Oreochromis niloticus: one gene and its partners. The protein of the gene in region 1 interacts with the protein of each later gene in a pairwise test. Links are inferred from orthologs where the notes say so. Each region holds a gene or a part of one and is shown in the gene's direction. Other genes may lie near its edges. The genes, in order: ntaq1, ncoa5, gnmt and rpia.

The links.
Region 2: the proteins of ntaq1 (region 1) and ncoa5 interact in a two-hybrid assay, tested with the Homo sapiens proteins (3 studies listed by BioGRID and IntAct). The two-hybrid records come from large-scale screens. The link is inferred for Oreochromis niloticus from reciprocal best matches to the Homo sapiens genes NTAQ1 and NCOA5.
Region 3: the proteins of ntaq1 (region 1) and gnmt interact in binary tests that used the Homo sapiens proteins (3 or more experiments, as listed by UniProt). The two-hybrid records come from large-scale screens. The link is inferred for Oreochromis niloticus from reciprocal best matches to the Homo sapiens genes NTAQ1 and GNMT.
Region 4: the proteins of ntaq1 (region 1) and rpia interact in binary tests that used the Homo sapiens proteins (3 or more experiments, as listed by UniProt). The two-hybrid records come from large-scale screens. The link is inferred for Oreochromis niloticus from reciprocal best matches to the Homo sapiens genes NTAQ1 and RPIA.

What each region holds. Positions count from the first base shown.
Region 1 is NC_031985.2:36,120,652-36,128,599, reverse strand, and holds the start of ntaq1 (protein N-terminal glutamine amidohydrolase), read left to right. Parts: upstream 1-4,930; 5' UTR 4,931-5,024; coding exon 5,025-5,080; intron 5,081-7,948. Other genes in the region: ribosome biogenesis protein bop1, read left to right, coding at 1-15, 719-905, 1,006-1,297, 1,462-1,546, 3,630-3,737, 3,835-3,988. UniProt on the Homo sapiens protein: Mediates the side-chain deamidation of N-terminal glutamine residues to glutamate, an important step in N-end rule pathway of protein degradation.
Region 2 is NC_031970.2:8,753,726-8,761,367, reverse strand, and holds the start of ncoa5 (nuclear receptor coactivator 5), read left to right. Parts: upstream 1-4,636; 5' UTR 4,637-4,789; intron 4,790-6,343; 5' UTR 6,344-6,402; intron 6,403-7,642. Other genes in the region: capza1a (F-actin-capping protein subunit alpha-1), read right to left, coding at 741-803, 895-966, 1,053-1,131, 1,271-1,350, 1,438-1,644, 1,783-1,846, 2,196-2,247, 2,339-2,402 and 1 more. UniProt on the Homo sapiens protein: Nuclear receptor coregulator that can have both coactivator and corepressor functions.
Region 3 is NC_031983.2:26,632,568-26,640,037, forward strand, and holds the start of gnmt (glycine N-methyltransferase), read left to right. Parts: upstream 1-4,451; 5' UTR 4,452-4,835; coding exon 4,836-5,044; intron 5,045-7,302; coding exon 7,303-7,430; intron 7,431-7,470. UniProt on the Homo sapiens protein: Catalyzes the methylation of glycine by using S-adenosylmethionine (AdoMet) to form N-methylglycine (sarcosine) with the concomitant production of S-adenosylhomocysteine (AdoHcy), a reaction regulated by the binding of 5-methyltetrahydrofolate.
Region 4 is NC_031983.2:7,547,042-7,554,050, forward strand, and holds the start of rpia (ribose-5-phosphate isomerase), read left to right. Parts: upstream 1-4,004; 5' UTR 4,005-4,100; coding exon 4,101-4,283; intron 4,284-5,223; coding exon 5,224-5,284; intron 5,285-5,499; coding exon 5,500-5,555; intron 5,556-5,689; coding exon 5,690-5,749; intron 5,750-5,979; coding exon 5,980-6,044; intron 6,045-6,124; coding exon 6,125-6,193; intron 6,194-7,009. UniProt on the Homo sapiens protein: Catalyzes the reversible conversion of ribose-5-phosphate to ribulose 5-phosphate and participates in the first step of the non-oxidative branch of the pentose phosphate pathway.

The sequences.
Region 1 (7,948 bases):
GCTGGCTGTTGCCCTGTGAGCACCTCTCTGACATCGCTCTGTCTCTTTTATATCTTATCATCTCTGTCTTTCTGTCTCTCTCTGTTTCTCCGTCTGTCAACACACCTGAATCACATGATTAGTTCGTTCTCAAGCCTCTGAACAATTTAGGCATTTGAATCAACTGTCTTGGATCAAGGACACATCTAAAACCTGCAGGACGCCGGCCCTCGAGGCCTGGAGTTGCCCACCCCTGTCCTAGTGTAATACAGAAAATATCCCATCAATCACATAACCCCTGGAGCATGATGGGGATAAAGATGTCATATGAGGAAGAGAGCATGTATTAATAATTTAATTCAGTGATTTCTAATGATGGTTTAAACTGGGGTAGTGTTTTTTGTTTTTTTTTGCTGTTGCTGTTGTTTTTTTGTTGTGGACATCCAACTTTATGAAAACGATTGCAGCGTAACTAAGGAAGGATTCAGGGTCACCTGGTACAGACCTAACTATATGCTTTATCAAGAAGAAAACTTTTAAGCCTAATGTTAAAAGTAGAGAGCATTCTCTCTCCTGAATCCAAACTGGGAGCTGGTTCCACAGAAGAGAGACCTGAAAGCTTAAGGCTCTGCCTTCCATTATACTTTTAAATACTCTAGAAACCACAAGCAGGATTTTAAACTCATCCCTCCTCTCCCTCTGATGTGAATCCTGTCCCTCTGTGTCTCTCTGGTTTCAGGGACTCTGTGGTCTTGATCCTGTCTCCCTCTCTGGCAGATAAACAGGTCATCTTGTCGTCAGAACGACTCCTCAGCGCCCAACAGGAGGGGGAGGAGCCAGCAGAAGGAAATGGGTCTGTTGTCTGGAGCGAGGCTGAGGGGGAAGAGCTAAACCAGGGGGTCCGCCTCAAAATCCAACACCCCAAAGTGAGAAAACCACCTGATTTTGTTTGTTTGTTTGTTTGTTTGTTTGTTTAAACCCCCCACTCTGATCCACACCTGGCCTAATCGCTGCTGATCTCTGCAGGCTGTTCACCAGGTGGTGTGGCATGCTAAAGGAGACTATCTAGCATCAGTGATGCCAGATAACACGAGCCACCTGCAGGTGTATATCCACCAGCTGAGCCGGAGGCGGAGTCAGAACCCCTTCAGCAGGAACAAAGGCCTGGTCCAGTGCGTATCCTTCCACCCAATCAGGCCCTATTTCTTTGTGGCCACACAGCGCTCGATCCGCATCTACAACCTCGTCAAACAAGAAATGACCAAAAAACTCCAAGCCAACTCCAAGTGGATCTCCAGCATGGCTGTCCATCCGGGAGGTAACCATATCCCCAGTCCCCCACACACAAGTCTTAAAGGCTCCAATAAACCCGCCACAATGGTCGTTTAGCTCACCGCAGCTGCTTCATCCTAAAGTCATTTGTATTTATACGCGCAGTATTCTCTTCACAGCTGTCCCAACTGTCTGTTCGTGTGTCTGCAGGTGATCATGTGATCTGTGGGAGTTATGACTGCAAGCTGAGCTGGTTCGACCTTGATCTGTCAACTAAACCCTACAAGATGCTCCGGTGCGTACCTGCCAGTCGCTCTGATCATCTGAGTTTAACCCTTTCAGACATGAGCTGTCAGCTGCAGGTGACCTTGAGTGCTCCTGTCTTCGTTCAGACCTGATCTCCAGGACGGATGTCAAGGTTTCTTCACATGGTGGCTGATATGGCAGCCTCGCTTCTGACAGTCTGCCCCAGGGCAGCTGTGGCTACAACTGTAGCTTGCCTCCACCAGTGTATGAATGTGAGAGTGAATGAATAATGGCATTGTAAAGCGCTTTGGGTGCCTTGAAAAGCGCTATATAAATCCAATCCATTATTATTATTATTATTATTATTATTATTATTATTATTACTACTTAGTAACTCTCACGGTTACAAATATTGCAGCTTTACGCATTGCCTTACAGATGGTGGTGTTGTTAGAGTGAGTATCTAACACAGCTAGACTAGACTTAGTCAGAAGTTATAGATTAAGTAGATTCACAGACAGCTGCATCAATGCTGAGTACAGGTAAAGCACCGGTGGGTTAGAGTTAACAAGTGAATATTTATAAGATTAATTACAGATTTGGAGAGATTGTGGCTGAAGAGCCTGTTGGAGGAGGCTGATTTGGGTTTGGTTGGGCAGAGGTGGCAAAAGTACAGACATTCTGTACTTTAGTAGAAGTACAGGTACTAGTATTTAAAAAAAAAATACTCCTGTAAAAGTACTGATTCAACTTCTTTATTCAAGTACAACAGAAAAAGTACAGGCTCTGAAAACTATCTCCTTAAAGAACATTTCTACCACCTATTTTTCTGCAAAGCTAAATAAACCTTCTGCTATATTAATGCAGTAGATGAGAATACAAATTTCATGTTAGTCTCGATGATAATAAATGCGCTCAGCTTGAATCAGTTAAGTAGAACATAAGCAGAGGAACAAGAAGGGGAAAATGGCTCTATTTTCTGTTGTCTACATTGTAGAATGTGACTTTGTCTCTAAACAGAAAATGAGTAAGGAAGAGATTAAAGTGGGAGGCACATAGAAATGCCCAAGTTAGAGAACAACTTGAAAAGTGCTTCAAAGTAGTGCAAAGAAAAAGACTGAATAGAGTCCATGTGTGAGTGGCCTGAGTGATGGGGGTTACTCAGACCATAGCTCACATTGGTGAGGTGGGTGGTTAAAGGCTTGTTGCAGTAGTTCAGTGTGAGGAAAACAATCACAGTTCACAATCATTTCTGTTGAAAGCTCCAGTACATTTTCTTAGTCCACAGGCTGTGATCAGCTGATCTGGGCTACTGCTGCTGCCCTGAGGTTTACTGCTCTTTACACACCTGAATTTAACAAGTGTTTTGTGAGTTTGAGTTGTCCTGGGTAATTGCCATCCTTCACACTGACAGTGCACTGTTTAACCTGTCTATCCTGCACTAACCTACAGAGTGTTTTCATGCAACCTCAGTTTGTTTTAAAGAACGTTTCACTATATGAAAATCACAATGTCACATGTATAGACCTAAGCACTCAGCTGGCAGATGATACTACAGTTTTCCTCAAAAGGTCAGAACAAATCCCTCTTGTCATCAACAAAATCCACATATTTTCTGAGGTGTCTGGGTTACCTTTAAACCTAAGAAAAGTGTGAATTACTCTCTATTCTGAACTGCCATGTAGTTTATTTGTATGGTATCCCGGTTTTAAAATGATTATAGCTCTTTATTTTATAATGCTCCCTCTTGTGTTCAGCTTGTATTTTTCACATTTTATACATTGCTGCCAACAGAATTTTGCATAGCCAGAGCTGAATTGTACATAAAGCAGCATTGTTTAAATGAAAGAAAGAAAGAAAGAAAGAAAGAAAGAAGAAGAAAAAAAAAAAAAAGATCTGCAGTGCCTTCACAGCCTAGCAGGTGCAGGAGTTTAGGAAATATAAGATTTCAGTCAGACCTGCACCAGGAAGGTGAGGATGTATGTTGTATGTGGAAGTGTGTTTACTCAATCAGGGCACTGATATTGGTGTATCATTGATTGTAGAATACTACATATTGATCAGATGTGGGGTTTTTTTTGGTTTTTTTTTTAATCATTTATCATGTGATATGGATCACCTTCTTTCTACAGACACCATAAGAAAGCAGTGAGGGGTGTGGCCTATCACAGACTGTACCCGCTGTTTGCCTCGGCGTCCGATGATGGCTCAGTGATCGTCTGTCATGGGACTGTTTACAAGTAAAACACACACACACACACACACACACACACACGCGCACTTATTTTTCCTCCTCTCAGTTGCACTCTAACCCCACCCTCCTTGCTACCCCCACAGTGACCTGTTGCAGAATCCACTCATCGTCCCAGTGAAAGTCCTCAGAGGTCATGTGATGACTCATGATCTCGGTGTTCTGGATGTGACCTTTCACCCCACGCAACCCTGGGTCTTCTCCTCTGGCGCCGATGCTACTATCCGCCTCTTCACATAGCAACGTGCTTAGCAACCACAGATGCCGTTTTCCTAATGTTTTTACTTTCAGACACAATGTTCTTGCCTCACTGTTTTCCTTGCTGTGATGTCAGTTCCTTTTTGAATAAACTGAACTGTTTTTGAGTGTGTGTGTGTCTGCTGTCAGTCTGGTGAAAGGAGCTGACATTGATCAGCAGTGTGACATCCCTTTCCTGTCTAGGGCCATTAAAGATGAATAAAAACATGCCTAATTGGCTGTTTGTGGGTGATCGATCAGGTCTAAGATGTTAAGTTCAGATATCATGGCAGCCATCTTTACAGAGTTAGCTGAGGAGCCTGGACCCCCTGTCAAGCCCGCCCATTTCACCAGTTATTCTGGTTTTCGATTTGCTCGTTAGTTTGTTTTAAATTAGTTTCTGGAGTGATGATCCAGATCTGTCTGGGTTTTATTTATATTTCAGTGAAAAAATTTCATTCATATAATTTTTAGTTAACCGTATAATCAATTTGACATGAACAGATTTGTTCAGTTAAATGTATAAATTAAGTATTTTATCTCAAATCTAATAAAACTTGTGAAATTTGCAGTGCAGATGTTTACAAAAATAAAAATTCCTTAGAGATTTGACAAGTCTTCAAAAAAAAAAAAAAGCCGAAATGTTTTATTACAAAAATACATTTTTGAGTTTGTATTTCAATTATTTTCTGATGATTTATGGTGCTGAGCAGAAGGAGTTGAGTGATGGGAGACTGTATACTGCTAAAGTTTAGTTATTCTCTGAAAATCTAAGCTAGCTAACAGGTTCAGAGGTCAGTTTGTTTCTCTTATGGTACTTTGCTATAAACGATGTTCTCCTTTCATGAAGGATGCTTCAGCGTCACAAATAAAGGAGGTAACTAAGGGAGCACTGAAGCTCATTTCTTGTGGCGGCAGCGAAGTTAAATTAGCAGTTGGACCCCAGTTTGTCGATGCTTTTAATTTGAAAGTCCACTTTCCTTAGCGGATTTGGTGTCAGTCCGTTTCCCTTGGAGCTCTTTCAGTGTAACACCCGATCATGAATCGGAGACTCGTTCCGATGCGCGAGGACTGCGTGTACACGAGCTGCTACTGGTGAGTCCCGACATACCTCCCAGAGGTGACCGTGCAGGCTCTGTGTCAGAACATTACCTGACGTTACTTGGCTCCTGAGAATTATAAACACACGCCTTGTCAAAGGAGCTGCAACCACTATGATTGGCCAGTTCAGATTTCCGTTTTCCTTTTAGCGCAGTTTTTTTTTGTTTTTTTTTTAAAAAATTTGTCAGTATAAGAATAAAAATCACAATATCATTGTAAGGAATAATCCTCCCAGACAGCGGACGCGGCTTGCGCTCCGCTCACCGCTAACTAGAGGGAAGGACCTACGTGTTGCGCTGGCTGGCCTCTGCGCTCTGCTGGTACGTCCTTTATTGCGGCCGCCCTACGTGTACTAGATGCGCCTGCTCCTAGTCTTTTCAAAACATGTATCTCTCTGACTTTATGTCCATATGAACATAATACAAGACAAACGTCACAATGCTGTTCACTAGACAGCAAGAGTCAACGATCTGGAAAATCTTGTCTTCGTTATCATTCCCCTCATACATTTTATTACACAGATTTCAAGCGTGCAGTTTACTTTGTGTCGCGTCAACTGTATGGGCTCAAAATGTGGTCATAAATATTTTGTACTTGTAAATCAGTTTTGTACTTGTAAATCAGGATTTGTATGTGTAAAAAGAATTTGTGCGTGCGTAAAAAAGATTTGTATGTGTAAAAAAGATTTGTGTGTGTGTAAAAAAGATTTGTATGTGTAAAAAGAATTTGTGCGTGCGTAAAAAAGATTTGTATGTGTAAAAAAGATTTGTATGTGTAAAAAGAATTTGTGCGTGCGTAAAAAAGATTTGTATGTGTAAAAAAGATTTGTGTGTGGACTCAGCCAAAAAACCCCCTGCAAGTTACAAGTACGAATTTTGACCCTATTTTTCTTCCTGTCATCTGATTGGTCAATGTCATGCCAATCACAAATGTAACAATCCAATCAGAGAACAGATGGGTTTGGCTGTCGGAGGGGCACTTTTTTGAACTGCAGGTCCTTGAAGGGTAATACAGTTTGAAGCTGGAGGATCTCTATATAAATATCCGATAGCAGCTAGGTCCCCTTACTTTCAGCAGCTGTTGAAAGGATAAAGTTGTGGTATGTCAGTGGTTAGAAATACCATTATTACTTTAGGATTAGTTTAACACAAAGTCAGGGCTGACCCGGGACCATTGCTGTGAGTCACAGTGCGCAGCATAAAGGTCCTTTCACATCGGACGCAGGATGTGCTGCTAATGCTAACTGCTAACTAAAAGCAAAGGATCCAGAATTTGTTGCGCTGGCTGCTGAGCTCTGTGGGTTTTTGCAGCAGCTCTACCTGTACTAGATGCACCTGCTCCTTGTCGTTTCTATCTCTGACTTTATGTCCTCTACCACAGTTTCTGGTTTTTTTGCTAGTTCTTCAAATGTTCAATAAAAACATGTATGCTAATTCATAACGAAGAAAGCTTTGTAATGAAGACTGTCATTTCCAAAACACTGCCCCCCCCCCCCCCCCCCCCCCCCGGTCCGCAGCGCTGTTGAAAAGGCTGTGGAAGTCCCTGTATTAAGCACGTAGACCTGTGACACAAAAATCACCAAACTCGGACGACCACAGACTGTTTTCCTTCGTGGTGATGAAGGAAAACGCTGGGTTGGCATATAAAAGGGCATTTATTCCCTTCAAGGACCTGCAGTTCAAAAAAGTGCCCCTCCGACAGCCAAACCCATCTGTTCTCTGATTGGATTGTTACATTTGTGATTGACATGACATTGACCAATCAGATGACAGGAAGAAAAATAGGGTCCAAATTCATACTTGTAACTTGCAGGGGGGGTTTTGGCTAAGTCCACACACAAATCTTTTTTACACATACAAATCTTTTTTATGCACGCACAAATTCTTTTTACACATACAAATCCTGATTTACAAGTACAAAACTGATTTACAAGTACAAAATATTTATGACCACATTTTGAGCCCATACAACCAGAGGTGGGACCAAGTCATTGTTTTGCAAGTCTCAAGTAAGTCCCAAGTCTTTATCCTCAAGTCACAAGTCAAGTCTCAAGTAAAGTCAAGCAAGTCAGAGTCAAGTCGCAAGTCAAGACAGACAACTTTCAAGTCAAGTCCCAAGTCCGAAACTTTGAATTTCAAGTCCTTTCAAGTCTTTTTTTTTTAACCCTCTGGGGTCCCGGGTATAATTGGCCGTTCTTGACTACTTTTGATTTTACTTCTATATTTCACTTTTAAAATATGTTTTTCTTGCCTTGTTTGGTATCATTATTTACAGCACAACCTCAAATATCTGAAATTTGAGTTATTTTTTTCATTTTGGTATACTATATTAGCACAGTTGATCTAAATTCAGACAAAAAATTCAGAATCCGAGTAGAAAAAAGTTATATTTTTTTACATGTTTAACGAATCATTTTCATAACTTGAAATGCAAATAGAAATTGTACATTTCTAAAAATTATGCACAAGTTTTGCAAACAACAAAGTTATATGGTACTATTTACCTAAAAATGCAGCCAAGGCCTCAGGCGTTTTTTATATAACCATTTAAATCTATTTACAGAACAATCAGGTGTGCTGCATCAAATAAGAAGGCACACAAATTATTTGTGCCAGTCCAAAAAATGTAGTTTGTGTTCAGTATAAGACAGAGGAGAACACCACAGGCCTAAACCCTGCAGGTCTGACAACTGGAGGTGCAACAGTCCAGTTTTCTATGTGGAGACAGCGTTTACACTGGAATCTGCCTTTGACAGCTTTTTTAGATCAAATATGAAATTCAGCAGTCTAACCGACACACAATACAAAACAATAACTATACAACAAACTAACTATAGCCTCCAAACACGCTAAACGTCACTAA
Region 2 (7,642 bases), on another chromosome or scaffold:
ATAGTTAGAAAAGGTTCTGGTCTCTACAGAGACTCTCGCATGTCATACCAACTGTGTTGTGGGTGAACTTCTTTCTATATCTCAGTCAATAAATTAAACACTGTTAACGTTTAAAGTTACAGAGCTTGAATGCTTTGACTAACAGGTGTGCTGACAGAGACAGCTATAGCCCGTTGCTGTCTGCTAGACGTCACCTCCACTAATTACAGTTTGTTTGCGCTGCTGGTGCCTTTTGAAGCTTTTTTTAAAAGATGGAAAACAGTTGCCTAAACAGTGATGTTATGCATATACAGTCCTTTGAAATAGCTGTCAGTTCCAGTTAATAATAAACATGCGTTTTATTTTTATTTTATTTTACAATGTTCACTCAACACCTGAAAATAGATGTAATTATTTAATTAATGATTCTGATTTCCGACTATTTAAAACAACACCTTTAGTCACTTGTTTTATAACACTATGGTGTATATACCTAAAAATCTTGCGGTGGTCATTTGGCAGCCAAGAGTGCTTACAAAAATAATGCCATTAGCAGCTTCACTTACCAACTAGGAAATAAAAAAATAAATAAAAAAAATGTGTGTTTCGATCAGTCTTCCCCTTTTAAAGATCACCTATTGTTCTATGCACAGCTTGTTGAGGATCTTAGCCAGTAGGAAGTACATTTTATACAACTTGCCACAGCTCTTCTGTGGCTTTATTAATTTTTTTTCTCTCAAACTGAGGCAATTCCCACATACCTGGTACTCATTTTCTGCATCTTCAATAATTTTTACTAACTCCTTTGCAGTCTGGCTCTCGTTCTGCCAAAAATAAACATACATGAGTTAAACAGATCCAAACAAAATCAACGTGTTCTTAAACTTTAGCCCACAGACATAGAACAACACTTACAGACACAGTCAGTGATTTCTGTACATCTTTATGGCTGACCAGCTGCACATTTCCATCCTCATAATAATGTACCTGTGGTAAGGAGAGGAAATACAACATTGAAACAAAACTAATATCAAGACTATTCTTAAATTCCACCAAATAAAAACTTAACATACCTGTATTTTCAAGACTCCGGCAACCTGTGCTGTAGGCTGTGAGACACTGAACTTCCACTCAGACCGGCAGCGACCGTTCCTGGTGAAGGAAAACGCAGAAGGCTATGCTTGAAAGACGATCCCAAATGCATAATTACGGATACACTACATCAACATAATTCTTTGGGAAAATCTGATAAAGACATTTAGAAAGAGATCATTATCCTTTCTCAACTTACCAGAAGTTTTTAGGCTCATATTGATGGCCCTCGATACAAGCGATAATGGTCTTCTGGCCATCAATTGTTTTCCCATAAACCTGAAACAAATAACCAGGAGTGGGTGATTTATTATGCTTAAACTCAACATGACAGCCATAGTGCAATGAGAGAGGGAGTGATCTTACGGTGGAGACTCCACTGGGGTAGTGCTCCTTGACGTATGCCCTAATAGCAGAGTCACAAGCATCTCTCCATGAGCTGAGGGCTGCCTCGCCCTGATGGGGCTGAGGATCGCTGGCCTCCTTCCTCAGGTGGTCAAACTTGAAGGAGATCTTGTTGTGGGGGTCAAAGAAACGGCCATTACCCAGGTCTCCATGCTCTGTTATCAGAACCTGCAGGAGACCAGACAGACAAACCTGCTGTTACCATGGGAGTTCATTCAAGTATCCTAAGATAAATTAAATTGTAGATTCAATAATAATAGCAAATTATTTGAATGCTTAAAAAAAAAGAAAAAGGCCAAAACTTGCCGGCTCTTCATATCCATCAATTTTGGCACGGGTGAACTGATCCATGTTGTACTGGGCAAAGGCACTATAACAAAAGACAATATAACCATAAGCTGCATTCATATCTATAACATTGTTGTTATTCTTAGATTCTAGAGTAGTGCTACATGATCTGATACTTGGCCCTTTTTGACCATGTAAAGAATAGCAGATCTTAATGACATCATGGAGAACCACGAGTAGCAAAAAATGTCTGAAATTCAGCAGTTACTACAGTCTGAAGCCTGAGATTCAGCTTTGGACTGCATAAGCATGTCATCTCATTATTTGTAACACTGACCATGTTCCAAATAATGGAGGAGAGTAGAGTAATAATTGGTTCCCTTTAAAAAAAAAAGAAAAGGAAAAGAAAGAAGCTAAAGAAGGAAACTTACTGAGCTGCACCCTCTCTGAGGAGATTATCATTGTTGAGCAGGAGTCGCACATCTGAGAACAACAAGTAGTGGAAGACAACCATAAACACATTTTTCTTTGCACATGGGTTGCAGTTAGTACACAAGGTGTAACCGGGGTTTACCGTTGAAAACTTCATTGAACTCTCCTGGAGGAGCATGCATCACAAAATTAGCTGCGATACGGACCTGGAAATAAATAAGACATGTTGTCATGAAAAAAATAAGAAAGAGTGCCACATCATCAATGGGAATCTGCACTTCATCTCTAAGAAACTTTGGTGTTATTTAGTCTTGCTACAGTATCCATTTTTATAAAGATACAGATATAGTAGGCAATTTATATGAACAGATTAAAACCTGCAAATAACCACTAGAGTGAAGCAGAGAGTACTGGGTACTGTACTGTACTGTACTGTAACTTTCTTGGCCAGAGGCTGGTTAGCTCTATTTCAGCCGCTCCTTAGATGGCAGTACATGTCATCCAAGGGCTTTTCTTAGCAGCCACCCAGTATGCATGTGCAAGCATGTGGTGTCAAAGCCCTAGAAAGAAGTGACTGAGGCAGGTACTATGCTCTCATAAAGTAATACTCAATGAGGACCGCAAGTTGTACATTTATACCAGGCAGCTCATTGTAAAATCTGAAGTTAAGTTGTTCTCTATAGAGGTTACAAGTTCCCTTTTTTAAAATCACGAATTTGCCACCTTCACTGTATCCCTTTGCTAAACCCATGACGTCACTATCACATTGTAGTATGATTTTGCCAGTGATGCTATCTGTCAGGCAGACAGGATTATTAAAGCCTTCAGGCTGCAGCTGGCGCTGACCTACAATTGGGCTGTCCTGCTGAAAGGGCAGAAGGACATTACAATGAATAACCCAGTTTAAGAGTGGTGCAGGCATTGTGGCATTCAGAGCATACAGCACACTCTCAGGCTCAGACTCAGCTTCTCCATCGTGTATTTCAAACGCAAATGAACACACTATTTACGCAGACTCTTCAGAAAAGTTAAAATGTATTATTTTAGTGTAGATATCACACCAACCTATTAATCTTATTTCGAAAGATTCACTGAAACTACTTAAATAGTTAAGCTCCTGGCCAGATATCAGCTTCAGGAATGCAATGCGCTATTTTACAACATGTTGCAGCATGATACAGACAGCAACACCAGTCACTGCAAGGCTCAGTAACACTGCAGGGAGACAGAAGACCTACCCTCCTTATGCGTTTCTAAACCAAAAATAAGTATCGGGTCTTCAGTGCATAAAATACCCACAAACTCATTTGTGTGGGTCAAGCTTTAACGTCCGACGTTATCAAAACCGGTTGAGGAAGCTAAACGTGAAAGTGAACAGGGTGTGGGTGGTGTTTTGCTATCGATGCTCTGTCATTATCCTTGGTGTAAATGCAGGAAGTAGCTGGACTTCCTTCGATTTAACAGTTGCCAACCACTGCAAAGTTAAGAGCAAAATCAGAAATCGACGTTAGCCGTACGCTGAATATGGCTGCTATTTAAAACGAGTAATTTAGTTAAGTTACTCTATGTATAAGAACATAACAGCTTCAGCTCCGAGCTGTCAAATACAGCCCTGCCTAGGTTTAGCTAGCACCCAACAAACACCTACCATAGCCCTACTGGTAAATTCATACGCGACTTTAAAGATCCCTCCGAGGTCTGCAATTGTTCACGACAAAGGTTAGAGCTAAACCGTTGTTATTGTGAGGATTATTAATATAGCAATACCTTCTCTTCATCGCTGAGCTCTTCGAAATCTGCCATCTTGGCTCAATGAAGCGTTAACAAAGCGACGGTGGATGTTGCCAGGTATGTGGGACTGACTCCTCCCAACACAACGACCGCCCAGTCCCGGAAACCGTCTGCCCGAGCCGGTAAAACAACAACGTTCACGCTGCCGTGAGCACGAATGTGTAGATTTAGACAATAATTATAATATTAGCATATCCTCATACATTTTGGAAATTAACATGAAGTACATTACATATTATAAAATGCCGAAATTCAGGGATTGTAATGCTTTGTTTATTTTTACGTACAAACCGAGGGGACAACATCTCAACCTGGCAACCTTGCTACCTTCCAGTCATTTGAAGCAGCTAAGCTATACTGAGTCAAAATAGCGTGAACTGATTATTTTTATTAATTAAGCAAAACATTGCAAAAGAAGAGAGACTGGTTTAGAAAATACAATACAAATTACAACGCATATATGCAAATTATTATTTAATTTCCTTTATATAATTTGTTAGAGGGTTAAAAAATACTCCGTTTAAAAAAACCGTATATTTTTCTGGTAATTATTTTTAATGGTTCAGGCTCTAAAGGTCTAAAATTCGTTTTATTGATTCGAAGGGCATACTGCACGTATTTTATGTTTAGCCAATAGGTGGCGATATATAGGCTAAATGAAATGGTAGTTACATCCACACAAGGGGTAGAAGAAGATATCAGGGCCAGTTGCTGTAACTAAAGTGAAGAAGAAGCGCAGCATTGTGAGCGGATAGTGGTTGTCCGTGGGTGGCTGAAAATTAACACGAAATAGACTTTGAAGGTAAGCACATAGTCGCCCTGTCGTTCTTGCTATAGCATTGCTTGCAGCGAACCGTGGATCGTAAAGCATTTGCAGGCGTAACTGTGAACCTATCTGTTTGGTTTTAACGTCCCTCGTTAAGGTAGCGTTAAGAAGCTAACCGCCGACATTAAGCTAGCTCTATGTAGCTACTCCGTAACCACGCTATTAAAACGTCTCTCGGAATGGCGGTGTATGAGAGTATTGCTTTTAATGTTAACCGACTTAGTTTTATGAGCAGTGTAACGAGTCTATTTTTGGATTACATAGCTGGTGCTGTAGCGTGTAAATCGTTATTTATGAGGCGGCCGGAAAGCTTTGACGAAGAGTCCGAATCGAAAGCAACATTACGAGCCGCGGTCGGATTTGTGTTGCTAAAAAAGGCGTTTGGTGAGAGGTGATACACTTGACTGGCATTTGAAGTTTCGCAGTGCTACTTTGCTTTGCTGGTTATTCAGTTATTTTGTTTAACCTTCATTTATACAGACGATCCAATTGAGATTATAATGTCTCATTTACAAACATGCTTCAAATTTTGTTCATTTATTTTCTCCAGTTAAATCAAGGCACGTGAAATACTTACAGCTAATTGACTTTTTTGAGGTTTCTTAAAAAAATATGTCTTTGTTCCTAGAAGCAGCTTATTTTTAATACTTAAAATGACTTGTTGGTAATCATAGGACAGTGGCCAAACCGGTTTGAACCGAAGGCAATATTAAGTCAAGTAACTATTTGTTACAACCAACGTAAACAAAAGGGCATCTTTGATCGCACGAAATCTCAAACCTTGGTGCAGATGGGCTACAGCAACAGAAGACTACACCAAGTGCCATGCCCATCAGCTAAGAACGGGAAACTGAGATTACAGTTTACACAGGGTCACTAATATTGGTCAAGAAATAGAGTAAAACATTGCCTGGTTTGATTAGTCTGGTGTTCTGAATTTGCTGTAACTAACATGAAAGTATGAATCTGGCCTAACCTTTATCAGTGGTTCAGGCTGGTGTTGCTGGTGTGATATTTTTGGCAGGATATTTTCTTGGCACATGTTCTTTGGTATCATTTGAACATTGTTTAGCCACCCGGACCTACCTGAGAACATCTCAAACTAGTTTCTTGAACATGACAATGTTGCTGTTGACACTGTGCTCTTGGCCTCCACAATTACCAGATCTCAGTCCAATAGGGCACCTTTGGAATGTGGTGAATGATGAGGTTTGCATTGTGGATCTGCAGCCGACAAATGTACAGCAACACTGTGATGTTATCATGTCAATGTGAACCAAAATCTAGGAGAAATGTTTCCAGCAACTTGAATTTCTTCCATGGGAAATTGAGGCAAAAAGGGATTTAACCTAGTTCTGTGGTGTAACCAAGGTGTAACTAATAAAGTGGCTGGTGTGGAGACTTGTTATTGTGAATCAATTTATTCAATAACTTTCCGAAAGGCTGTTTGAGACTATATTTTAGAGCATTTCATTTGATTAATTTCATAAGCTTATTGTAGTGTTTGTATCTTCTTCTTTTTTTCCCCAGACACACTAGTTTCTAAATTCAGTGGATGCTGAATCCAGGCTATCCAGGTTCAAGTTAAGGTATGTAAGGAGCTGCTTCCTGAAAGGTTTATGTAAATTCCTTCAAGTATAAATGCAATGAAACTCTCTCTGGTCTTTCTGCTGTATGTATCTTGAGACCGAAAAACCTCTTGCGGTTCTGTTGTCCTGAAATAATTTTATATTGCGTTATCTAAGGTAGGGCTGCACAATTAATCGTTAGAAAATCGCGATCTCAATTCATACTTATGTGCGATCTCATTTCCAAATGACAATGATTTTTAAAAAAAAGGAAAAAGATGACGATTGTACCGCATTTTGATCCGGGACATAATCTGCATGAAAACAAGCGCTCACTCTTCCTGCTCAATAAATGACAAGGGCGGAGCCTTATACCACGTGAAACAGAAGCCAGTTGGCAGGGTAAAAACAATGGAGAGCACGTGAGAGATGACGAAGCTGTAAAGGCCAAGAAAGTGACAGGAGAAAATCCGTCCCGGTCAACCACCCAAACATCAATAATGGGAACCGTATACAGCGTTTCCCCATAGCCGTCGAACTCCCGCAGGCACAAAGAAATTACGGAGGCTATCACTTATCACCTGGCTAAAGATATGGCTCCCATCAACACTGTGCAAAACGAGGGATTTAGGAAAATGATCAACACCCTAGACAAACGCTACACAGTGCCGTCCTGCAACTATTTTTTCAAATGTTGCACTACCTGCTCTATACACGCAGTGTCGAGCAACGGTGGAGACGGAATTACAAGCAGTACAACATTTTGCGGCAACGACAAAATGTGAGACATTTATTGTTTTTATGTTTATTTATTATTTTTATGTTCAGTCTCAACTGTTACGAAGTTGATGTGCAGTTAATAAGTGCAATAAATATTTATATTGGAAAAGAAAATCGTGAGAGAATCGTGATCTCAATTCTAAGCAAAAAAAATCGTGATTCTCATTTTATGCAAAATCGTGCAGCCCTAATCTAAGGCACATAATACGCACATTTCTCCTAAGGACTTTTAAGGAAATTGCGCTGTTTTAGATTTTGGCATTTTCAGAGTGACCCCAGGAACGTGATTTCATTTCAGCTAATCTGATTTTCTTCAAGACGGCGTTATTTCAAGAGAAGAGGACTGCATTTATTTCACAAAGGACTGTTGTGAGACCCAATGGGGCTTATTTTTCTCGGATGGTGTGACTTTAAATTTGCACCACGAACCTTCTAAAATATTTCAGTCGTCAACTATAACTAGAATATATCTCACTCTGAA
Region 3 (7,470 bases), on another chromosome or scaffold:
CAGTCATATTTGCTTTCTCAGAAGCCTGACCAGCAGGCTGAGCCTATAGTCATTAATCATGCTTTAATTTGTGTGTTTTTAGTCAGAAAGGATTGTAGGTTAGATGAACAACTGGCCAGATGTATAGATGAACGTAAAGAATTCCAAATGTTTCACGTCTCATTTTTCCTTTTGGAAAACAAGAAAAGTGAGAACTACATTTGGATATATGAAACATTTTAACAGCTATCATTTTAGGAGGTTTACACCTTTATTTTATTACATAATTTCCGAGCTTATATGAAGGAAAACCAATGTGCTCTTGTTCTTGTTACTACTACTACTACTACATCATCATCATCATCATCATCATCTTTATTTCAGATATATACAACAAACCAATACACACACACACACACACTTGCATTTACATGTACAAATACGAATATATATGTACATACACACACGTTCTCAGACAAAAACAAAAGTTAAAATAAAATGAACAGATTCTAAATTACACGAAATGACAACCGTTAAGTCTGAAATGGAGTAGGAAGAAGTATGTTACATACTTATTCATCCCTACCCCACGCTCACTCTACTGAATCACCATATTCAGTGTTACCCCAACTTCCCCTCATCACTTATCCCACACAATAAGGAATGAAGGACAAGTATAAAGATAGCTACACTGATAGCTATAATTCAGATACAATTTGGCATAGTTATACATACACACTATCAGTCATCAACTTTATCAGTTTTGTATTCTTCCAAAAGCAGTTTTCGAAACATCTTTATGAACTGATTAATGCTTGAACATATAATATAGCAGTATATAAAATGGTACAGAGTATTCAAAAAGTAATCAAACAATTTTTACACTCCTTAACATACTTGTGTACTTCACGTACAGCATATGTATAAATATGTTCATGCTGACCTTTTTCTATAATCATTCATATTTGTACATTTAACTCCTTGCAAATGAGTTTTAAAGATATGACATGTGTATACTTTTATTTCAGGTCTTTTTTTGAGGTAATTTTATGGTCAGTTATGTGTCATGTTCAAGTGTGAGTTCATTCATATTTGCTCTTATAGCACCATCTACTGTCCTCAAGAACAAAGTGCTGAAAAAAGTATGGGAAGGCAGTCAGAACTGAGTCAAATTGTAATTTGGGAAATTACAGTTTGTTCCAACAGAAACAGAATTACTTAAGCTGTATCTTCTAATCACATAGCATTAGTAACAACTGTTTTAAAATATAAAATATCTCTAATATTAATTATTATTTTTGTTGTTATGGCCTTGAGACACTGTACACCTACATTTTTTAAAATGTATTTTTCTTAAGCAACATGTAATGAAACGTGCTGTATAAATAAAGAGACATGGACATCGTTGTAGGTGTATTGATCAATAAATTATCGGACTTGTGTTTTTCTTTCAATTTTATTTAGCAAAAAATTATTTGTCCCATTTTTTTCATCTGTTCGCGCTCACTGGCCACTTTAAGTACACTTGTTGAGCTACTCGTCACTAACAATGTCTGATCAGTCAATCAGAATTGAGCAACTCATTGCACCTAGGCATGTATACATGGTCAAGACAACCTGCTGAAGTTCAAACTGAGCATCAGTAAAGAGAAGGAAGGTTGTTTACGTGGCTCTGAAAGTGACACGGTTGTTGGTGCCAGACGAGCTGGTGTGAGTATTTCAGAAACTGCTGATCTGCTGGGATTTTAGAACACAACCATATCCAGAGTTTACAGATGATATATATGTGAAAAAATGAAAATATCCAGCGAGCGGCAGTTTACTGGCTAAAAATCCTTTGTTGATGTCAGAGCTCTAAGGGAAATTTCCAGGTCGCTTCAACAACCCATCAGCCGGTCTCCGGACTCTGTTTCTGCTGCAACATTTGTTTGCACATTTGCCTGAATACTGTTGACCATGTCCATCTCTTTATGAGCACAGTGTACCCCACTTCTGATGGCTCCTTCCAGTAGGATAACACCACATACCAAAAACTTTTAATCATCTCACTAGTTTCTCGAACATGACTTGTGTTCGCTGTACTCAAATGGCATCCACATTCACCAGATCTCAGTCAAACAGAGCACCTTTGGGATGTGGTGGAATAAAAGATTCACATGATGTGCAGCCGACAAACTGGCAGTAACTGTGTCAATCTTAAATTTGATTTGATTGATAGGAGGTGATTTCCAGCAAAGTTTGGCTCTGCGCTGGAAGTGGTGTCAATCACGGTCCTACTGAAAACAACACGTTGAAATGTAACCGTTTTCCCTTTCATCTGTTCCGCCATCTGACTAATCTCTGAACTTCACAGCACTCACTTCCTGTTTCAAGTTGTAACAAGAGCATTGACGCAATACTTCAGAAGGGATACAATGATTAATTTAACGCATACATTCAACAAACTGTATTAGAGTCTCTCTCTCATATATCTCTCACACACACACACACACACACACACACACCTGTGTGTACTCAGACTGGAACTTTGATCATCACTTATCTTTTCAGTGACTGTGTATACGGGCAGGTGACAAATTAAAGCAAAAACTAAACCACTGTTTGCTCATTCTGTTAAGCTTTGGGGTGCAATTTCTGGCCATGATTTAGGTCCATTTATTCTTTTAGAAGCAAAGATTATACAAAATGCTACAAGGTTGCTCTTAGGCTACGTTCACACTGCAATTCCGATTTTTTGATCAAATCCGATTTTTTTGTCTGCTTGTTCACACTACAAATAAAATGCGACAGCAAACGCGCTCTAGTGTGAACGCTCAAAGCGGCCCGCATGAGCAAAAGAAGATGTCACACACAACGCGCTCTGTTTAGACCCAGAGCAAACATTATTGTTTGACTGATGGCCCTTAATATTAAGCCTAAGGATACGTACACACTGCAGGCGAAAGCGCATCAAATCCGATTTTTTTTTTTTTTTTTTTTTTTTTTTTTTTTTTTTACCCTATGCGACCCATATCCGATCATGGTATGACAGTGTGAACGGCACAAATCCGATATTTTCAAATCCGATCTGGGTCACTTTCGTATGTGGTACTGAATCCGATACATATCTGATGTTTTAGAAGGCGACTGCTGTTTGAACGGTCATGTCGCATTAAATCCGTCTTTTACGTCACTGACACAAGACAGACACCAATTATCAGCGCCGGAGAAGCGCCCGAGAAGACATCGCGAACGCTTCCTGGCCATCCAGTGTAGATGTCAGTGAAACTGTTGGGAAGACAACGTGAACATTTTATTTGTACTGTATAATCTGCAGATTCTGACAGAAATCTGCAGCTATCCTTTGAAGCACCGCTCCTCTAAAACAGCAATAACGATAATTATTAGGTTATTTACATTATTATGTAAATAACAAAATAACTTAAAGCAAAAATTGGGAAACGTAAAGTCCGAAGTCTTTATATTAAGGGCCATCAGTCAAACAATATTGTTTAATCTGCTGTCGCATTTTATTTGTAGTGTGAACAAGCAGACAAAAAAAATCCGATTTGATCAAAAAAATCGGAATTGAGCATTAAGACCTGCAGTGTGAACGTAGCCTTAGTGATTTACTTTATGATCAACCATGACAATGCCCACATGCAAATGTCATGACGTGTCAGCGAGGATAAAAATGATCTGAATCATGTCCTGTGTCCTTCGCAGTGAGTCATTTTGTTCTCCACCACCATCATCAAAACAACCACAGGAAGGAATGTCTTTTTGGCAGACTAGACCAAAGGTGCATTAATGTGTGACTTCCTCTAGGCAGTGCTGTGCGTTCTTGCCAACTCCTGCTTAGGCTGAATTACATAACTATGCCTGTGTTCGAAGTCAGATCTGGATTTTTGAAAGTAGTAAGTGTGTATGTGTGCGTGAACAACCCATAAGGTAGTAGTGCAGTTCTGAAAAAACTGGAAGTTGCAAACCTTACCTAGCTCGCACTGGTTGTAGCTGACATGACCTCACCTCTACCAGTAAATATGGGTCCTACAGAACTAAATCCGCCAATCACAGCAGGAGGAGTTCACTTTGTTTGGAAGGGCACGAAAAGTGCCTAAGAGAGTCCTGAGATGATTTTATTCCATCTTTTTTTTTTTTTTTTTTTTTTTTAAATCACATTGTTCACCTACATTACACCCTGTGCACTTAACTACTGCAGCACTGTGCATTTCATTGTTAAAAAATGAAATTATTAGGATTTTAATTTTGCAAAAACCTCTTACTATGCATGTTTCGCAAGCAATGCGTCCAAACAGCATGATCAAACGATAGATGATGAAATGTTAAAGGGGGCGAGTCCTCTGTGCCACTGTTGGTGGGATTATATTCCCTGAGTAAAACCTTACAGGTAATGGGCTTCGTGAGCTCTACTTTATTTTAACATTATACTTAAATAAATACTTCTCCTCCAACGTCAAACATAACTTAATTTTAACTTTAATATGCACGTGTTGAGGTATTTAATTTAATTTTGATGGAATACAGTGTGGAACTTATCCTGGAAGGTAAGCTCAAGGGGAAAAATTGGCAACCTAGCAAAGCTTCACTCGAGTGACGTATTCCAATGCTAAACAGAAAAGGGGCGGGCTCCCCTTAGGTTATCCAATCAGAAAGTAGGCGGCGGTGCTCGACGGCGTGTCATTGGGTTAAAGTTTCTGTCTTAGGTTGTTCATATAAATAATAACATCTCGGCTAGCATGTGGCAAGCATACCTGTCAGAGAGGTAGCGTGTTTCCTCACCCAGTTAAAATAGTCCAAACTTGTTTGTCCGCTCAAACAGACACTCAGGTAGAGGTACAGGTACGGGCAGCAGTATGTCGGTCGACAGCGTGTTTAGGACCCGGTCTCTCGGTGTGGCAGCCGAAGGTCTTCCTGATCAATACGCCGATGGCAAAGCAGCGAAAGTGTGGCAGCTGTACATCGGAGACACGAAGAGCAGGACGCAGGAGTACAGGAGCTGGGTGGTGTCCCTGCTGAAGCAGCACGGGGTGCGGAGTGTGCTGGATGTAGCCTGCGGAACAGGGTAATGTCAGGTCAAATTAGCAGTCTTATTAGCACGTCTGACAGGGGCTTCAGCTCTGCTTCATCAAAATCCACTTAAAAATCGTTCGACTTAGTGTGTATCTATAAATATAATCAAATATAAAAAACATAAGCCAAAACGTTATGAAATTTCCATAACAAAATCTTAAATACGGCTTTATCCAAGTATCCCGAGCACGCTTTTGTTAATGGTTAAACTTTGATTTAAACTGCATATGCCAAACAAAAACCTGAGCTCACAATGATTCAGCAGGTGAACAGCTGCTGATGACGCCATAAATCGTGCCGATTCAGACTACATTATTGCTTTTCAAATATGTGAGAAGGTGTGACTCTTGTGTGATTCACAGTGATTGTGCAGCTTCAGAACAGAGTTGTGTAGGAGTAGCTGATAGTGATGATGGTGTTTGCTTCTTTGCTGTACTTGATAGATATGTGGGTAAAAACAAAGTGATTTCAGCTCACATAGGCCTTTTTGTACGTGTACCCAACTTTATAGCCGTTCAAGTGAGTTTGACTTTTGTGGAATTTCAACTCACTGACCCTTTTTAACTCGGGACAAAATCCGGATTAAGCCACAGAATAATGAATGAAAGTGCAGAGTTGCACCTGATCCTGAGCCACGTCCTGCCTCCTGCACTGGTCTGGTGTAGACACAGCGGGTTTACACATGCTGGTTAAATGTGATTCAGTTACAGAGGTGTAATATGTCTGTGACACAAGCTTGAAGCAGCAAGTGTTGTCCATTTAAATTTCCTGTTTCTAAAGCAAACTAAACACAAGCGAACCGTAAACTTGCACTTAGTAGGTCAGTGGGTGATGAACTAGTGCTGGGTAGCTGAAAGGAGTTTTGTCTGGTTTCCTGCAGTCTTTTTTATCTCCCTTGATACTCTGACTTTGCTCTCACACAGCAGCAAGGCCATTGCCCAAGCACAGACAAGCAGACCATATACGTCACCTCAGCTGTTGTTTTTCTCATGGAGAATTTTCACTGGAGATGCATTCTAACCATTTTATTGTTTGATGTTTATCATAAATGTACCTTTTTTTTCTTTGCTCATCACTTAGCACTCATTTCACCTGCTAATCAACATTACAGAGCTTATAATGTTCATGTCAGAACTGCAGTCATCTCCATAATAACTCAGCTCCACATCTCAGGCCACATGGTTGTCTTCCTACGGTGTGGAGCACCCCAGCACATTGATTCTGACCCCATTCCCTAGTAGTGGTGCGCCTCAGTAGTGCAGCAGCCTCAAAGTAAACATATTCCTCGTGGATCACGGTTACAAATAGCTATTTTTGGCAGCCAGAGTGCGTTTGTGGTGCTTTCTAATTCTGAGAAGAAGCTGCAGGCTGTGGATCGTCATCACCTTCACCTGAACCTGTGAGAGTTTTTTAATTTAGGATTCCATAGGTTGAGGCAGGAAGTCTTATGTATAACTGCAGAATGGATAGGCATACAGACAAATTAAAGGGAAACCATGAATCCCTGACTCATACCTTAAGGATTATGCTGGATCTGTTAAGTTGAGGCCTTCACAGTCACCAGACTCACAGTTGAACCAAATAAAAGGGCCATCTTTTAGAGGAAATGGTGTTGATCCCTCTTGTAGAGGCATCGAGTCCTTTGAGATTTGATGCCAAGATGAAAACTAAAAGATGTGAATTTGCTTTTAGCCTAAGACTTTGTTTAATCCAAAACTGGAAAACTGGCTGTTCTTTTTACATAAGCTTTGTTTTGCTGTTATCTATTATCTTGCAGTTACCCGGTAGATGTTAATGATTTCTGCATTATTGTCCATTGAATCCCTCCCCTGTTGCACTGAAACACGTCTGTATTGTTTATTATTAACTCATAAATAGCAGAGAAAACATTTTTGAAAGTCAGTCAGTAGCATCTATTCAGGCTGTGGTTTGGCCCGCGATCACGTTTTCCTGTCAGGTTTTCAAAACAGTAGTAGCTTCTCGCTACCATACAAATCATCTCTCCTTACCTGTGACAAGGTTACAATTCCTGTCTGTAGTGTGACGATAAGCTTATCAACCTACTACTAAACCACATGTAGTGCGGTCGCAGCAAACACACACTCGCACTCAGACTTGATCAAACTGTTTTTTCAGGGGAAGATGACAGCAGGGATTACCCTCAAAATCTAAACACACCTACTGCACCAAATCATGATCCTCACAGGTCGGTTGTTGTTTTTAAACGTATTCATGGATTTTGTTTTCCAGGATTGACTCCATTATGTTGGTGGAGGAGGGGTTTAATTTGGTGAGTGTGGATGCCAGCGACAAAATGCTCAAGTATGCACTGAAGGCGAGATGGGACAGGAGAAAAGAACCAGCTTTTGACCAGTGGGGTATGAAAATTAAAAAAATATATATTTACTGAATCGGTCA
Region 4 (7,009 bases), on another chromosome or scaffold:
ACACAATGAAGTCGGTTCCTAGACGATGTATTTGGTGAAAAAACTGATTATGTGAGGGTAGCCAGTAGTAGCCTCAGTGTGGGTACAAAGTTCTCTCCGTGAATACAGTGAAATGACATTAAAGAATCATATAGAAATATCAGTGTTTCTTCGTGTGTATAGAAAATGTACAATGATTTAAAGTAAAACCCAGGGTCAACCCTGAAGTTACCCACATAAGCTTAAAGCCTTTCTTCACAGTATAGAGGCCTATGAAACAGGATTTTTGACTTATCCAGATAACTTCAAAGCTGATCCTAAAGTTATCCAATTTTTTTAACAGCGTGACTTGACACTATACAAGGACATTTTAGGTTTAACATGATCTACTTTCATGTAATGAAAACGCTGAAAGGCGTTTAAAAGGAGGAGGTGCTGAGGAAGCCTCCGTTACTAACGCCGTTAAAACGAGTTTTTCAGCAGCAGACTGAAGGCTGACGCATTGGCTGCTCTCACCGTTGTCGCGCGCCCCGCAGGTAAAGTTAATTAGTTAGTTGAACTGAAAAACTTTCAAATAATCCGCTTTTCTGTCGCTTGGAACATTTTTGGCGATGTCAACAACAAATCCGGAGGAGCAGTCGCTGGGGGCGGGGCCGATGGAACAGTAATTTCCGGTGACGTCATGGGCTTGCCTTTGAACCTTTGAACTTTCCTTTGACGTCGCCAGCTCCAAACCCCTTAAATACAACAGTCCTGCTTACTTTTTACATGCTTTCACAGTGGAAGGTGCATTTCAGACGCGTTCAACTCAAAACATACCAAATTATCATTTAACTCATCCCACAAAATTTATAAAAAATGGAAGACAAATACTTAAATACTGAGGACATTGAGGAAATCACAGCAGCACGTCTTTATCCTCTGATCAAATCTTTTTTTGAAAATTTGACGGCTGTGCAGTGGCATACCATTAGATCAGGAGACTTGGACATTGCCACTAAGAGTCTTCTAGGAGAGCTCATTGTAGGGATAACTGAAATAGGTGTGAAACACTTTGAAATGATGACTCAGAATGCCAACACTGAAATATCAGAAGATGGTGTTTTGAGCAAAATGAGTACCATAGTTCCGCAGGCTTTTGCTGAAGCTTTGGAAACGGTTCCTCAGGCCGACAAGGAAAGTACTGAAAACTTCCAACATCTGCTTGCTAAGGAGGTTGTGCTAAGTATTATATCTGCACAGTCTTCTGACAGCAAAACAAGTTTTGGAGAACGTGAGCACATCCTTCCTCCAAAACGGCTGAACAAAATGATCCATTTTGCTGGGAGAATGATTAGAGCTTTCATCTCCAAGATGAATTATTTCAGCACGAGCACTGATACCAGTAGCTCCAGTAGCTCCAGTGATTCAGATGAGGACACTAAAATGTTAGATAGTCCAAGTGTTCCAAAAGAATATCTGGATCAAGGATATAAAACACCCACGATAGGCCCCCAGGACAGCTTAGATAGTGAATTTCTAGAAACTGTGAAATTTCACATCAAAAATGCTGCTGATAGTTTTATGCAAAATTGGAAAAAAATTATGTCTCCTCATTATAACAAGGAGCAACCACAAACAACTGAAGAGATTGAGGAAATTGCAAGACAGCTCACATTCTTAGTTGAGGCAAAGATTCAATGTTCTCTAGAGCGTGGTGAAGTTACCACTCCCGCATCATTTGCAGAGAAATGTAAGCAGTCGCTACAAAACAACGCAGGTAAGCTCAAAACATTCTTTACGAAGCAATTTGCAAAAGCGACAATTCTTCGCATTGCCAAAAACACCAGGGCTAAATTCCAGAGAAAGGAGAAAGTTGAAAGCAGTGAATCGGTGGAGGAGCTTGTTAATGATGTCGACTTGCTGCTTCAGACTGTAAAAGATCGTAATTCAAATGAGTTTGAACTATTTAAACAAATTTCGATCGGCAAATCTCTGGAGTTCACCCAGGCCCTCACAGACATGCTAAATAAATATGCTGTAGGGGACATGGGACCTGAAACTTTACCTGATTGTTTCAGAACAGCACATGTAAACCTACAAGTGAAAGTTTTCTTGGCACTCATGAGATGGTGGTTATGCACCCAAGCTGAGAGCCATAGTCAGAGTGTAATGCTTGCAATACTTGGGACTCAAGAACCACAGACAGAAACACAGACACAACCACAGACACAACCACAGACAGAACCACAGACACAACCACAGACAGAAACACAGACACAACCACAGACAGAAACACAGACAGAAACACAGACAGAAACACAGACAGAAACACAGACACAACCACAGACACAACCACAGACAGAAACACAGACAGAAACACAGACACAACCACAGACAGAACCACAGACACAACCACAGACAGAAACACAGACAGAAACACAGACACAACCACAGACAGAAACACAGACAGAAACACAGACAGAAACACAGACACAACCACAGACAGAAACACAGACACAACCACAGACAGAAACACAGACACAACCACAGACAGAAACACAGACACAACCACAGACAATGGAAAGTATTCCAGTTGTAACGTCCCAACCAAAACCTGAGCCGTTTGTACTAGATGATCCTGTACACAAAGCTTACATTAAAATAGTCCTTCATAAATTATTTAACCGCATAGCTAAAAAATTAAAGATGAAGTGCACTTGTGTAGGCACACAGAAGATCCACACCTGGCTTTTGGAAGAAGTATGGGGCGAACTCAGGGATAAAAAACTTACTATAACTCCACAAAACCTAAAAAATCTGGAAAAGTACATTCTTAAAGACTTGCGCAATTTCTTTGGGAGTGTCGAAACTGTTCAGGTTGCTCTGGAGTTACAGAAATCCACAGCTGTAAAAATCATTACACAATGCTTGACTGAACATCTGTCAGACACAAAAAAGAAGCCAAATGCCATTGTCAGGTTTTTCACTGCGTTGACCAAAGCCATCACCAAGCCATTTAGACGCACAACTTGAAGTGGTGGTTTTTAACATCAACTTAGTATTCATCTTGAAGGAAAAACAGTCATCTTTTTCCTTGCAGATGAATACCGAAATACATAACATCAAAAATGTCGTAGCAAGAGAGAAATTTGATTATAACTGGATTCAAATCCCCCAACCGGTCTCGGCAGATGGCCGCCCGCCTGAGCCTGGTTCTGCCGCAGGTTTCCTCCCATTAAAGGGGGGTTTTTCCTGCCCACTGTTGCCAAGTGCTTGCTCATAGGGGATCATAAGATTGTTGGGGTTTTCTCTCTTGCATTGTAGGGTCTTTATAATATAAAGCACTTTCAATCAGCTTTTGTTATTGGGCCCTATTTAAATCAAATTGATGAGCAATTTGAGAAAATTTTCCAAATCAATAAAACAAATTCTAAATTTTAACTTGTATTTCTGTCTCTTTTTATTTTCTGATTGTCATTGGATTGTCTTTTAAATGAACATCTACTGTGATTTTTAAATTAATATCCATTGGTCCTTGTATATAATAAAAATATTGTTTCTTACAAATAAATACTGTTAAATGAATAACTGCTCACTATCAGTTTTCAGGAAATGAATAATGTTGATCATTTTTCTATTAATGGAAAAATGGAAAACTTCTGCTGACATATGAGCTGTTTATTTAAAAAAGGACAAAGCCTTATATGCCATACATACTATATAAACAACATATATAAACAGATTTTCCAATATAATATTTACCTTTGAGTTGTTGGTGCTTTGTAAATGGAAATCTCCAGAGACGAGAAGATGGAGCAGGTTTGCAGTCCTGGTTCAGTCTGCTCCTGCATTGTGGTCACCAACATACAGCAATGTTAAAGCTGCTGCCTGAGTACTGAAAAACAAATATTAATGCTGCAGTAATTAGAATCAAACTTATAGCAAAGGAGACCCCTTGAATATAAATGATGATAATTAAAGAAAGAATCTTTGGGAAACAAAAATTCGAGGACAAATTTTTATTTTATCCACTAACATGGAGGAGGCGGGGTTTATGACTTACACTGCAGATCTATTTTTTTTGAGGGGAAAGCTGTCCGCGGCGGATCTGTCTGTCTCCGTGTCTTGTGGGCCGGGTCATGACATTTCAGGGGTGGGTCTCCTTCAAGAAGCACGCAGCTGGATTTGTGTGTGTAGCATCCCGGAGGCTGGTGGTTCCCAATAACTATAAGCACGTGTGTCTGTTCAGTCAGTCTGCAGCTAACATGGCAGAGGAGGCGAAGAAGCTAGCTGCTTACGCCGCCGTGGATAACCACATTCAGGTACAGCAGGCTCTGTTACCGTTCACTCTCTGCTAGTTTGTCGCTTACTATAAACAGGATTTGAAACAGTAGTATATAGTCTTATCTGCGTGTTTAGCAAAGTTGGCTAAATATACAGCTACAAACCAGCTTAGTGATTTGTTACCGTTATCTAACTTGCACGGTTTGGAAGCGAATTAGCTGTGATAGCTAGCTAACTTTGCTTAGCATTAAGCAGTGCATGTTACAACATACAGTAAGTCGCTAGCTAAGCGGTAGCTGTATTTGACAGAGCCGTACACTGCTGATTTAACACGGCATAAGTCTCAGAACTGTAAAGGCTACGTGACTGCCCCATGTGTACATTTCTACATGAACTAACCGCATCATGACCGCTCACCAAATGTCACATTAAAGTCTCGACGGTATCCATTTGGGCCAAACTAATGATGATATGGGGGGTTCCATATTAACCTTTTACTGTTGTGCATTTACACTCCTGCACCTCCCCTCGCCTCTGTGTTCAGGGTTTAGAAAATCAATCTCATGAAGCAAAACGCTGTTGAGCAATATAGAGCAAACAAGTCTGCTTAAGAAGTGAGCTGTCTGCACGTTGGGTTGAATAAAAGACTTGAACAGAAGAGCCAAAACCAGCAGGTCTGAAGCACATGCACGTGTCCAGGCTGTTCTAGTGGGAGAGGCTTAGATGAGACAGGAGAGAGCTTTCTACCTGCTGAAACCTAAAATCTTGGTATCTTGTGTTTTAGTCATTTTTAGTATGCCAATACAGGAAATAAACACTCAGCATTCCTAACAAAGTAGATTCATGATATGATCATTATTATTATGACTGCAGTAAATTAAACTCTTACACATCTTTTGGTGTTGTTTGTTTTTCTCCTCACATGCTCAGGATATTTAGCCTCACTACATTTGTTTAACTTTATTTTTGTTTTTCTAGAATAATCAGGTTGTTGGTGTGGGCAGCGGGTCAACTATCGTCTACGCTGTGGATAGATTAGGTGAGGGAAACATAACCTTTGACTGTACGACACAAGATAATACACCATCTCTACAGGAAGATTTGAAGCTCTGCTCCAGTTGTGACACAGAGCAGAGTTTTTTTTCTGTCTTAACAACACAAGCAAATTCCTAAATGCAGCACCATTTGGGTCTTTATCAGAATTCATCAAATAAAGCACTAATGGCCCTTGTGTTTTATCCCTCCCTCTTCTAGCTGAGAGAGTGCGTCAGGAGAAACTCAATATTGTTTGTGTTCCCACCTCCTTCCAGGTTGGTTTGCATATTTCACAACAGTGTGGAGCAATATGACTTTGAAACATCATTTCCCCTTACTTAAAACTGTGTGTTTTTTCTTTCCTCTGCGCTTTTGTTCTGCTGTTTTTGGGGTTTTTTTTGTCCCACAGGCTCGTCAGCTGATTCTGCAGCATGGCCTCACTCTGTCAGATCTGGACAGGCACCCCGAGGTATGATGAGCTCATTGGAAATCAATCTGAAAGCCCTGATTTCCTGTCTATCTCTGCTTACTATCAATAAAAAAGGGGCAAAACCCAACCAAATAAATAAAACATGATTGGGAGAGCTGACTAAAGCATTTCCTACATTTAGGGAATGGTTCAGGAGTTTCTTTTGTATATACCGGTATCTGTGCTCAGTGGTCTGCTTGCATAAAAAATCGCCGCCTTTGCTTTTGCAGCTGGATGTGGCAATTGATGGAGCAGATGAAGTGGACGAAGACCTCACGCTGATAAAAGGTGGAGGGTGAGTACAGTACAGATGTCTGATTGCAAGCAGCGTCTTTCCTGATTTCTGTCATTCATCTTTTTCTTCTTCTTTCCCAGTGGCTGCCTGACTCAGGAGAAGATTGTAGCCGGCTGTGCTAAACATTTTGTTGTAATTGCCGATTACAGGTGTGTATCGGTGAACCTAAATGTCAGATGTTAGAGAAAGTGTGGTCATTCAGAGGTGTAGTGTTACGTATTGAAGTAGCAGAACACAGGTTTCCATGTGTGCACTGGAGTTGTTGCTTGTTTCCAAGCACATGTAAAGACTGTAATAGCAAAATGGTCAAACTTTAGCAATTCATATTTTATATATTTATGAGATGAACCAGAGTTCTCTACACATAACAGGCAACTTGGCAAAAGATGTATTTTAAATTCTTTCGCTGAATCTGTGATGATGTTTGTACCATCCAAGTGATAACCATTGAGCTTTTAAACGTGGCCTATCTTGCCTAAGAGTTAAGGCTGTTTTGAATGTTGTATGTTTCCATTTTCCCAGCAAAATATAAGGGAATGAAAGGGGGTAGCTCAGTAGTGTACTTTATTTTTACCAGGGTTGATCAAATTACTTTGTTACAACAGAAAAAATGAACCACACAGGACTTAACCTGTGCATGATTCCAAACATCCACCATATAAACCTGACCTGACCTTTAGGATGTACAGGACATAAAACATTATTAATATGAAGATCTTGACTATCTGGGTATAATTAAAGGTGCACACTTGGGCTTTTTAGGGTGATGGGGTCTGGCCACCCTGCCAGGCGGGTGAGTGATATGGAAACCCACGTTTGCAAATTTAACTTGAATGAGGAGATGTAAGACTTTCAAATTCTTACCCAAAAAATCTTGGGACAAGTTTAAATCCTGGTGACTTTGACCTCAGGAACCATGTAATTCTACTATTTATTAAAATATTGTAGAATTCAGACATCTGTTG